2 linked regions of the Cricetulus griseus genome follow. The protein of the gene in region 1 purifies or fractionates together with the protein of each later gene. This does not show direct contact. Links are inferred from orthologs where the notes say so. Each region holds a gene or a part of one and is shown on either strand. Other genes may lie near its edges.

The links. Proteins that work in one complex are often made in the same cells at the same time.
Region 2: the proteins of Cct8 (region 1) and Tle2 purify together in Homo sapiens (affinity purification with mass spectrometry; 3 studies listed by BioGRID and IntAct, with this or other methods). This does not show direct contact. The link is inferred for Cricetulus griseus from reciprocal best matches to the Homo sapiens genes CCT8 and TLE2.

What each region holds. Positions count from the first base shown.
Region 1 is NC_048597.1:9,847,016-9,852,843, reverse strand, and holds the start of Cct8 (T-complex protein 1 subunit theta), read right to left. Parts: upstream 2,866-5,828; 5' UTR 2,764-2,865; coding exon 2,704-2,763; intron 2,314-2,703; exon of another isoform or gene 2,169-2,313; intron 981-2,168; coding exon 890-980; intron 337-889; coding exon 257-336; intron 1-256. UniProt on the Homo sapiens protein: Component of the chaperonin-containing T-complex (TRiC), a molecular chaperone complex that assists the folding of actin, tubulin and other proteins upon ATP hydrolysis.
Region 2 is NC_048598.1:102,321,999-102,327,826, reverse strand, and holds the start of Tle2 (transducin-like enhancer protein 2), read right to left. Parts: upstream 3,572-5,828; 5' UTR 2,477-3,571; intron 2,470-2,476; exon of another isoform or gene 2,362-2,469; intron 2,327-2,361; exon of another isoform or gene 2,055-2,326; intron 2,048-2,054; exon of another isoform or gene 1,777-2,047; 5' UTR 1,730-1,776; coding exon 1,697-1,729; intron 1,581-1,696; coding exon 1,483-1,580; intron 1,163-1,482; coding exon 1,099-1,162; intron 818-1,098; coding exon 773-817; intron 1-772.

The sequences.
Region 1 (5,828 bases):
ACACCCCCTCCATAAACAATTAAATTAGGAGGCTGTGTATAGAAATATACAAGCTTGCAAGGAGCTTTCTTGCAAGCTTTTTATGTTCCTCCATAAACAATTAAATTAGTTTTTTTGAGTAGTCACAACAGTAAACTGTTTTGGTCACTTATAAGTCTTCACAATAAGCTTGAGGAAGAAGCAGTTCTTTATAAACTAAGTGAAGTAGTGCTTTGTCTATGTTAGAATTTTTTTGATGGTTTTGGAAAAAACTTACTTCCAGCTCTCTTAAAATAGTTGCTGCGTCATTTGTCACAAACAACTTCTCCAGGCGATTGATGACCATTTTATTCATTCCTTTAAAAAAAAAGTTGCAAAGAAAAAAAAATCCATTATTATTCAAATATTCTCCCGAACAAGACAGAGAAAACATGGTGAAGAAGCTGCACTGACTCTTTTTAACCCTTTGCACATATGATCTGTATTTTCAGTCCCACCACACAGCCCATGGTTTTCCTGACTAAACACCCCAATGCACTGAATACAGAAAGCACTGATAAATTGGAATTCACACATAAACACATTTGGCCTCATGTTTAATCCTCTAGTCTGTATCTTTAATTCAAATGGTTAAAGGAAAGCGGTTCCTTAAACTATGTCAACTTTTAAAACAGCTCAGCCCTTTCCATCATGAAGAGCTATATCAATACTGAAGGGCTGTAATTTTCCTATCACCTACTAGGATAACAGTGTCATTTAATTTTCCTAGAAAGCTGAATTTCTGATTGAAAGCTAGGAGCCCACCAGTGCCGTCAACTATGAAACAACCTGCAAGAACTTCCCTGTACATTTAGCATTCAGCATGAGACAGAAGCTAACACGTCCTTCAAGATGTGAAATTGGCCATTACCATTTGGTCCATATGCTGTACGGGTAGTCTGAGAAAGCTCCTTGCAAGCTTGTATATTTCTATACACAGCCTCTTCTAATCCTGAAAAATGCTGCAAAAGAAAACATCTGCTTAAGTAGGGTCATGAGGCAGGAACTTCCAAACACAGGGTATCCCTGCTCATCATGCTTCTCATAAAGTGCCAGGGTCACACAACCATTTATTGAGCACACAGAATCTGGAGTCCAAATAGCCTTAGTTTCCCCCCCTTAGTACAAAGGCCCCAGTAATTTTTCCTACATGTAAAACAATGGGACAACTAACACTTCCTACTTGACAAACTGTTTAGAACCACCTACCTACTGAAGAACTATTTTTCCCTCCCACCCTTAACCTGGGACTGAACCCAAGAAATCAGTTTACCATTACACCACAATCCCAGCCAATTTGCGCCTGCTCTTAATTTCAAATTCTTTTGGGGACTTAGAGGGGCTGTCTTCACTTCAGTCCTCTCAGTAACGATTCATATAATGTATCCCAGGGAAAGCACTGGTCTGAGTGTGACAAATGCTTTTAATGTGCCATTTTCTCCATCTAAATGAGGGAGTCAGACCTAAATTGCAAACTATGGCACTCCACCCCCGATGCAAAGGCAATCAATCGCCAATATCATTTTCCACAACTCACCTACTTACATCAAATTCTGACATCCATGTAGTATGCCCAGGTTATCACCTAGCTCTCCAACACTGTTAGGAGTCCTCTCTTTCCCCTAAGGCCTTAAATTCTATTCACTTACCTATCGCTACAAGTCTTAGTAATACGAAGACAAAATGAAATTATCTGGCAGCTTGAACATCTCTCAGCAAATGGCTGCACAGGCAGTGTGAACACACACACACACACTGTCTCTCTCTCTCACACACACTCTCCCAGACACACACACTCTTGTCTCTCCCCCACACACAAGTCTCACACACACACACACACACTCTGTCTCTCTCACATACACACTCTCTCACTCACACTCTCTCCCACACACACTTTGTCTCTCTCACACACTGTCTCACACACACACTGTCTCTCTCACACACTCTGTCTCTCTCTCTCACACACACAAACTCTGTGTCTCTCTCTCACGCTGTCTCTCTCACACACACTCTGTCTCTCTCTCTCACATACACACACTCTCACACACTTTGTCTCTCACACACACACAGTCTCTCTACACACACTGTGTGTGTCTCTCACACACTCTCCGTCTCTCTCTCTCTGAAATCGTGTTCAGGAGGGGCCTCACTTATGCCGGGGGCTACCACGTGTGGCAGTCAGGATTCTAAGACCCTGACATCTTCTGGCCGGGTCTCCTCAATTCAGGAGAGGTCTGTCTGTCTGCGGTGGAACTAAGCCGGGATCAGCCACCTATGGCGGCTGGAACCGGGAGTCACGGTGTCTCTGGTTTGGAAGGAAGCGTCGGGCTCCCCAGGCCCCTGCCTGCCGCCTTGCATCCCCGGCTCCCCGGCTCCCCGAGGCCGTGCAGGCCCCTCGCGTGCTCGGTGCGGCGGCCCCGCCCTTGCGCACCCCCGCGGAGACCCCGCGGAGGCGGGATGCGAGCCCGCAGCCCTGCCCGGCCGCTCGGGTCAGGGCGGGGGCCGGGGGTCAGCGGCGCGCCTGCTTTCTAGAACCTTCTCCGGCCCGGATCGCGGCGCAGGCGCACGCACGCCGACCCACCCGCCCGCCCGCAGGCCGCTCCGCCGCCGCCGCCCGCAGGCGGCTCCCGCCATCCCCCCCCGCCGCCCCGCCGCCCCGCCGCGTCCCCTCTCCGGGTCACCTACTTTCGCTCCGTCCTTGAGCATCTGGGCAAAGCCCGGGGCCTTGGGGACGTGAAGCGCCATGGCCGGCCCGCAATCAACCGCTCACGCGCTCGGAGGAAGCGAGGGCCGCGCACAGCCTGCCGGGAGCGCCGCTTTGCGTGCCCCTCACGCCGCTCCACCTCCGCCCGCCCCCTTCTGCCCGCCCCCTTCTGCCCGCCCCGCCCGCCCCGCCCCTTTCTCCCCGCCCCGCCCGCCCGCCCGCCCCGCCCCTTTCTCCCCCGCCCCCCGCCCGCCCGGCCTCCCACCGGAAGTGTCGCGAGCACGACTGCGGCGGCGCACACTAGCGGGGGGTTCCCCGCGGCCAGACCCAACCTGCGGCTCCCCGATCGGGTCGAACGGTTAGCCAGGCTCGCCGCGCGCCGAGCGCCGGTGTGTGCAAGCCTGTGTGGTTTGTTTGCTCAAGGGCGCTGCTCTTGGTTATTGATCAGGCCTGCAAAGGAGTGATACCTCCGTTTAAGTGACACGCCGGTAAACATTACAACGGGGATTCCGACCCCGGCTGGCCCGTTGCACAGTGTGCACATTTGAGCACTTGGTATGTGGTTTGCTTTTTGTCCCCCACCCCGCCCCAGGCTGTGGTGCTTGCACGCCTTTAATCCCAGCGCTCGGCTGGCGGAGGCAGGAGGATCTCTGTGAGTTCGAGACCAGCATGGTCTACAGCCAGGGCTACACAGAGAAACCCTGTCTCGGAAAGAAAATTTAAAAAAATCCTTTCTACTCCCCCGAAATCTTTTTCACACACCACTGCTATGACTTTGCGAATCAATACAACTAGTGAAGTAAAATAGTTTTCCCAGGGAAGGTAAAACACTCTTACGGTAAAAATAGGAAAAAAATACAGAAAATTGGAAACGCTTTGGTGGGTCGTCTGGACATGTAGAAATGAAGGTCTTTCTTTATATTGGAACAGATTCATTGTGCCTTTAACGTAATTGCAACTTTTTCTAAATGCAATTAATCATCAATTGGAATTTTTCCTAATGAGCATTTAAAATATGTACTCATGAAAACAATACTTTCTTGCCACCTAACGTGACATGGTAAGGGAACCGTCTGTATTGGAAGCTACTGCAAGACATCGGTAGTTTTCAAAGTTTGGTTTAGACATCTCTGAGGCTCGCCAGGACCCTTTGAGGGTGCATTAGGTTGAAAGCATTCCATAGCGTAACAGAGGTGTCTGTTGCCTTCCTGGGGGAGTTCGGAAGCTGATGAAGTAAGTGTTCAGTATCTCACAGTCTGAATGAGAGAAGCAAAGGGAACTGGGCTGTCTTCCATTAAGTCACACACATATAAAATATTTGGAAAAAATTGTGAATGCCACTCTTCTATAAAGTTATTTTCAATAATATTGTGTTTGCCTGTAGTGTTCACATTACATTTTTAAGTTAGCATTTAGTAGTTTTTCTGATTTATAATGTTAACAACTATTGACAACTATGATACACATGAACAGAAGGGCATTGGTGGGCTCTATATTTTAAAGCATAAATAGGGGTTCTATGACTGCAGAGTAGTTGAGACCTGGACAGGAGGATAGTCCAACATTTTCTCATGGGTTAGCTAAAATAATTAAAACTCATATCTCAGAGAACATAATTTATGAGCATGACTGACACAAAATAAAAAAGAAAAGGGATTTAAAAGTGATACTTGGGGGCTGGAGAGATGACTCAGAGGTTAAGAGCACTGACTGCTCTTCCAGAGGTCCTGAGTTCAATTCCAGCAACCCCATGATGGCTCACAAACATCTACAATTCAATCTGGTGCCCTCTTCTGGCATGTAGGTAGAACAGTGTATATGTAATAAATAAATCTTTAAAAAATAGAGAGTACTTAAAAGTGATACCTGATTCATTAAAAGTGACTATGAGGAATTAAATCTTGGCAAAATTTAATAACTAGATAATAAAAAACCAAAGTTCAAGACAACTGATGGATTTTCATTAAAAGTTTTTAATAAGAATTGACCTTGTATTAATTGTAACAAACAGTACATGGGAAGGATTAGAATCAATTAAAATCTACTGTATGTTATTTTGTCAAGGAATTAGGTCTTAATTGCCAGTAATTCCTTTTAAATGAAGATTTGTTAATTCTATGTAATTTGGGTTACACTGTATTTATAATTACAGAGTCGGGATATCAAGGGGAAACTTCCTGCTGGGTTTAAATAGAGTATGTGTCATCCAGAAAAGAAAAGAAAAGAAACCCCTTAGTGTGACTCCAGCCAGGTCCTAGCCCCTGCTTGTTACACTGGTATCTTTTCCTGCTTGGTTTTACCCTGCATCTTCTAGACACAGTACTGAAACAGCTCCACGTTTCCTTTTTTCCCTGTTTTATTGTTTCCTCAGGGCTCTCTGGAGGCCTGCACGGTATGTGAAATTACAGTGGTTCCAATGTGTAAAGCCTGAGAGGCCAGATGCCCCTGATGTCCTCTTTCCTAGCAAACCTTTCCGTCTCCTTTGGCTGAGTCCACTCCACGTAGGTAAGAGTAACAGTTCCCTCAGCAAGCCTTAGATTATCCCCCAGACATTCCTGGTTATCATTCTGATCATACCTTCTGCATTGCATTTCACATAGTTGCAATGACAAAAATCATTCTCAGCCATTAGGTAAGCACTGCATGAACTGGAACTCATAATAGGATATTGAATGGAATAAGAACTCGCTATCTAATTGCCAGGTGGACTGCCACACAACAAATAAGAATCACAGTGTTGGTATTCTAAAATCTACATGCTGAAATCCTAATCACCAACAGGGTGAAACCTTTGGGTAGGTGATTGGTTCCTAAGAGGAAATACTTTGGAGCCGATGAGCACCCTTATAAAATATACTTAAGGGAACTTGTTGCTCTTCCACCATGTGATGGCCCTAAGAATCAGCTCTCACTGTACCTATCCACACTTTGATCTTGGATTTCTCGGCCCCCAAGACTGTGTGTGTGAGTGTTTGCCGGCATGTATGTCTGTGTATCCTGTGCATGCAGTGCCCACAGAGGCCAGAAGAGGGGAGGAGGGGAGCAGATCTCCTGTAACTGGAGTTTCAGATGTCTGTGAGCTGCCACCTGGGTCCTCTGGAAGAGT
Region 2 (5,828 bases), on another chromosome or scaffold:
ACTTTCAGGGCTATCTCAGAACTTCCAGGGCTTGCTCAGAACCTTCAGGGCTATCTCAGAACCTTCAAGGTAGCTCAGAACTTGGAATTCCACCTCAGAACCCTGAGGACCATCTGAGAACCTAGGGCCCACATTCAGACTCCTAGTGAAGAGACTCAGAACTCACAGACTAGGAGTCCATCTCAGAACCCTCAGAGACAGACACAAAACCCCGTGGTCTGTCTCCAAAATACAGAACCAAGATGAGCCACGGCAGCAGGCCAAACACATAGCAACAGTCATCCCAGGCCCCCTGGCTTTCATCAGGCTCAGATACAAACTACCAACAGACGCCGGGGGTGTATCACAGGCCCCCAGGCTCCCAGGGTCCCTCACAGGCTCTCAGAGTGAACCACAGGCTCCCAGACTTCCATTGTCTATCATAGACTCACGGGCTTCCAGGGTCCACCACAGACACCGGGGGTCCATCACAGGCTCCCAGGGGTCTGTCATGCAACTGCAGAGATTTGGCTCTACAATGGAATCCCTGCTGGAAAGGAAAGTTGCCTCCAAACCCTCCTTGGCCTACAGCCCAGGCCCTCCTCCATGGGGACACTCCACTCCCTCTACTGTTCCCACTCAGGCCACTGTCCCTAGATGCTGAGAATACTTTTTGTTACAAGACTAAAATCTCTTCTGCTGGCCTTGGTACCGCCAGAGATGTCTGAGGATGGCCTCTGCCCCACAGATGAGCATCATCCCTTCCCACAAACCCCTGACTCCAAACGGTCACCTGTTTATGCATCTCAATGTTGAGGCCGTAGGACATCTCGTAGTACTGCAAAGGAGACAGTGTTGACCAGTGTGAACAGCTGGCCCCATCCTGGGTACATGGAGTCTTGCTCCAGCCTCAGGGGTGGGAGCTTCAGGGCAAGGCATGGAAGCATGAACCCCACGGGGACCCAGAGGGGGAAGCCAGAAGGCATTGGGCTCAGAGAGGCCGACAAGTGTCCAAGACTGGGGGTTGGGGAGGAGGGCACCCAGAGAAAGCTCCTCATGTCCCTGGCTGCCCTCTTTAGAGGGAACACAAGAGTGGGGGCAGCGAGGGCGGGACCCTACCATCACATAGTGCCTTTGCATCTCTGTCTTCTCGCTGGCCAGCTTTTCACACTCCAGTTTGAGGCTGGGCAGGAAGATTGGACAAAAATGGGGGATCGCCTCACCACACCCCACGTAGGTCAGTTTCCGTGACAGGTAGGAGCTGCCTGCCCACCCCACACTTCTTTAGAAACTGTCTCCAACCCTGGTGAGCCCAGGCCTACAAACCCTTCCTCAGGGAAGGTTTTCCCAGAAACCCACTCACGTCACCTTGGGAACACTGTCTCCACCAGGAAGCCCTCCAGTCCTCCCGGTGAGCCTCGCTCCTTGCCCTGCAGACCACGCCCCCTCCATAAGTCCCCACCCCCGGGGGCCTCCCAGTGCCCAGAGCTGGGGCCCCCTCACCTGTGGTACTGAGCTTGGAGAAACTGGAATTCCTCTTTGATCCGGTCACAGATTTCCAGGACTGAGAACTTGAAAGGCTGGCCGGACTGCAGCGGGGTCTGAGGGGATAGAGGAGAAGGACACGGGGGGGGGGGGAGTTCCGGGCACCAGCAGGTAGGGATCCCCTCCCTCGTCCTCCCCTGCTCCAGTCAGAGGTGGGGGTCTCCGTACTCACCGTACTCACCGGGTGCCTTCCCTGGGGGTACATCCTGCTGATGGACGGATGGGAGAAGGGGCAGCCCAGCTTCGTGGAGGCTTGGAGATGGGGCAAGAGGGAAGCTGGGGTGCGGAGGTGGAGCAGGGGACAGAAATTTAGGGTGCAAAGCTGAGGCTGGGAGTAGAATGTGGGGTGTGGGGCAGAGCAGAGGGTAGAATTTGGGGTGCTATTCTAGAGCTGGGGTGCGGCGAGACTGAGGCTGGAAAAGCTGGGAGAGAAGCCGGAGCTGGGGGAGGGATTTTCACGCAAAGAAAGAGCAGCCAGGGAGAGCCTGCCTGCCGGGGGCAGGGGACCTGGACCCCGCGCGGCGCCCCACCTCCCGCCAGCGCGCCCGGGTTGTCCGGCCCGGGGGCAGCTGCAGCCCGCGCCGCAGGTCCGTGGCCGCCGCCCGGGGTCGGCGCTGGTGGCCGGTAGCTGCGGAGCCGCCTCTCTCCGCAGGGCTCGGCTGGGAGCCGCGGGCGGGACCCGCCTTAAGGTGGCACCGGTCTGCCTCCTTGGCTCCCAGACCCGCTGGGGAAACTGAGGCTTGAGTTAGAGCCTACTGTTCTCGCCCCACCCCCACGCAAAAGAAAAAAAAAAGAATGAAAGAGAAAAACAAGTTAGGAAAAAAAAATCTTGCGTACTCCGGGAGCCCTGGGGGTTGCAAGAGTCTTTCTTGAGCCAGTAACACGGGGCCCCATGAAGGATGAACACCCCCAAACACCAATCCCAGGAAAGGCAGACCCCAGCTATGCTCACTAGCCAATGCTGCCCAGCTGTGGGGACCTCACGAGTGACCTCTCAGAGCATCAGGGGTGAAGGACCAGGACAGAGACCAGGGCAACCTGACATGCATGTTGGTGCCACCACCAGTCCACTGGGTGGCCTCCTCAGACCGGGTGGGGGTGGGGAGTCCAAGAGGACTAGACACCTTAAATTAGTACACAGAAACTTAGGTCTGGGGATAGAACCTGGTCACTAGAACATTTTTGCAGAGCTCATCTTCTGACCACCTCCAACCCTCACTGGGGAATTCTAGGCTCCAAACCATGCCCCAACCCTCCTTTTACTTTTGGAGATGAGGTCTGGATCAGTTCCCCAAGCAAAACGTGGGTTTGGAATCCTTATGTCTCAGTCCTATAGTAGCTGCGACAACAGGCCTGTGCCATCAGTCTCGGCTCTGACAACAAGCTCAAGTGTGTCTCTCACTTATCACCAGGGACCCCCCCCAGGGGGCTTGTTTCCTACTCTGCAGAACAAGAGAGCTCCTACCCCATTTCACAGAGAAGAAACCTCAGATCTGCCCCATCTTTAAGCCAAAATCAATAAACATGTGTGTATGCCTGGTGCTACTGTGGACAATTGTGCCCTGGGAAACTGGGCAACGACGATCACGATCATGGGAAAAGACCCCTCCTCGTTCGTTTGAACATTTGGACCTCTGTGGACAGCTAAGTCAGCTACAGGGGACAAGGGCCTTTACGAGATTCTGCAGAGGGAGGATGTTAGCTGAGACCCGGGACTTCGAGGATAAAAGGACAGACTCTAGGAGATGAGCCACGATCTGCCAAGACCGGGAGCTGCCCGTGCAAAAAGCAAGACTTTAGACAAACGATGACAGAGACGAACAAACAGGAGCCGTTGGTGTCATTAAGGCTCCATTGTAGATGGAGCCTTAAAAAGTCAGGGGGAGCCAGGAATTGACAGGAAGACCCAGAGGGAGGGAGCACCCTGAGTGTTCAGTAACTTTCTGAAGTGCCCCCCAACACCCATCTCGACCTAGAATCCCCCAGTGAGGGGTTGGGGGCGTGGTCAGGGTGGAGCCCCACCTAGAATCCCCCAGTGAGGGGCTGGGGGCATGGTCAGGGTGGAGCCCCACCTAGAATCCCCAGTGAGGTGCTGGGGGCGTGGTCAGGGTGGAGCCCCGCCTAGAATCCCCCAGTGAGGGGGGCTGGGGGCGTGGTCAGGGTGGAGCCCCGCCTAGAATCCCCAGTGAGGGGCTGGGGGCGTGGTCAGGGATGAATCCCCCCCTCAATATCTGGACCACCATGCTCTCCATCTCAGGCCTATCCATCCCTGGGCCTTTGCAGATTCTGTACAGGGCACGGTTCCTTCCGCACTTCTGCATTCCCACCACTCAGATTCTCCCCTATGAACGAACATCTCCTGGAGTCCCTGAAGCATCTTCTAGCTCAGTGGTTCTCTCAACTTTCCTGATGCCGCTAACCATTTAATGCAGCTCCTCATGCTGTGGTGACCCCCAATCATAAAACTATTGCATTGCTACTTCATAATTGTGATCTTGAACTTTTATAAATCGTAGTGTGTTTCCTGGTGATCTCAGGCGACCCCACAGGGGTCGAAACCCATAGGTTGAGAACCCAGCACCTGCTGCTCTGGACACAACCTACTCCTCAATCTGGTTCCACCACACTGGTTTCCTGCTTCATTTTTCCTTGCAGGTCATTCTGTCCCTCCCTAGGCTGTCAGGTCATTCTGTCCCTCCCTAGGCTGTCAGGTCATTCTGTCCCTCCCTAGGCTGTCAGGTCATTCTGTCCCTCCCTAGGCTGTCAGGACCGAGCCACACCCCTATCCCCAGGGCCTGGCTCAAAACTAGAGCGGACAAGGGAGCAAGATCGGAGAACACACCAGAAATCCTGGGCACGCTCCTGATTCCTGGGGAGTCTGAGAAAACACTATGTCCCCACCTTGTGCCCAGGCGGTCTGGGACCCCAGTATTTCCTCTCCCCGTTTGCTATTGGTAGCCCAGGCTGGCCTCAGACTCCCCTGGGGAGTAAGGGTCGCAGTGCGTGTCACCACGCTTACCCTGCAGTCCTTTCGGCCCCGGCCCGGCCCCGCCCCGCCCCCTCAGGGGATGGATAGGCCCCCAGGGATGGATAGGCCTTCCTTCTAGTGACCCTCAGCCTCGGTACTGTCACCTGGTGCAAACCCAGGACATGGTTTCTGCCAGCAGCACTCGTGCAGGCCACACACCGTGCACTCTTCCAGCTCCAGACTCCTTATCCCAGGGGACCTAATGTGCGGTGTGGCTCCCGGACTTTCTCTGGGGCTCGCACTTCCTGGAATCCCCTCCCCCCCAAAGACACACAGGTCTTATCAAAGATGAGCCCAAGGTCCCCTTCCGCAGCCTCCCCACAGCTGTGAAGGCGGCCAAGGTCAGAGGGAGCCCCCGGGAACCCGAGCGGACTTCCCGGAGGAAGGGGCCTCTGCCCCGCAGCTGCGCGTCCGGAAGTCACAGACTCGACGCCTCCGTGGAGGTGGGGGATGCGATCGGGGTCCCTGGGACTGAACCCCATCACGCCCGGCAGCGGGGGGGCACCGCGGAATCTCCCGCCCTCCCGAGTCAGCGTGGCCCCCGGCTGCCCCTGCCTTGGCGGCTCTCCAAAACCAGAGAGGAGGAAAAGGCTGAGGCTCGGAGCTGCCGGACTGCTCGGTCCACCTTAAATCAGACTGGCCGCCCGCTGCCGGGGACCCGCCAATCTCCGCCACGGGTGGCCGGGAGCGCCAGCCAATCGGCTCCCAGAGCACCCACATGGGTCTCTGACGTCACTCAGCGCACTGGCCAATGAGCGCCATGTCCCCGGCGGCCAATAGCAGGAGGCGCTGGGCCGGGCTGCGCCAATAGCAAAGCTCTGGATGAGCTGGGGCGCGAGGCTGCCCCGCCCGCCGGAGAGAGCCCGCGTGGTGGTCCCGGGCGGCGGGGTCCCCTTTAAAAATAAAAGCCCCGTTAGTCCGCCGGGCGGGATTCCTGCTCCCCGGATTCCTGCTCCCCAGCACTTGAGAAGTTGAGGCAGGAAGAGGCTTGCAAGGTGGACACTGGCGTGGGTCACTGTCTCCAACTTTTTTTTTTTGGTTTTTCGAGACAGGGTTTCCTGTGTAGCTTTGGAGGCTGTCCTGGAACTCGCTCTGTAGACCAGGCTGGCCTCGAACTCACAGAGATCCGCCTGCCTCTGCCTCCCGAGTGCCGGGATTAAAGGCGTGCGCCACCGCCTCCGGGCAAAACATTTTATATTTAAACTATATATATAAAACAATAAGCCCCTCACTTCAGTGGCTACCTTGCCATGCTTGGCAGACAAAGCGCCCTTTG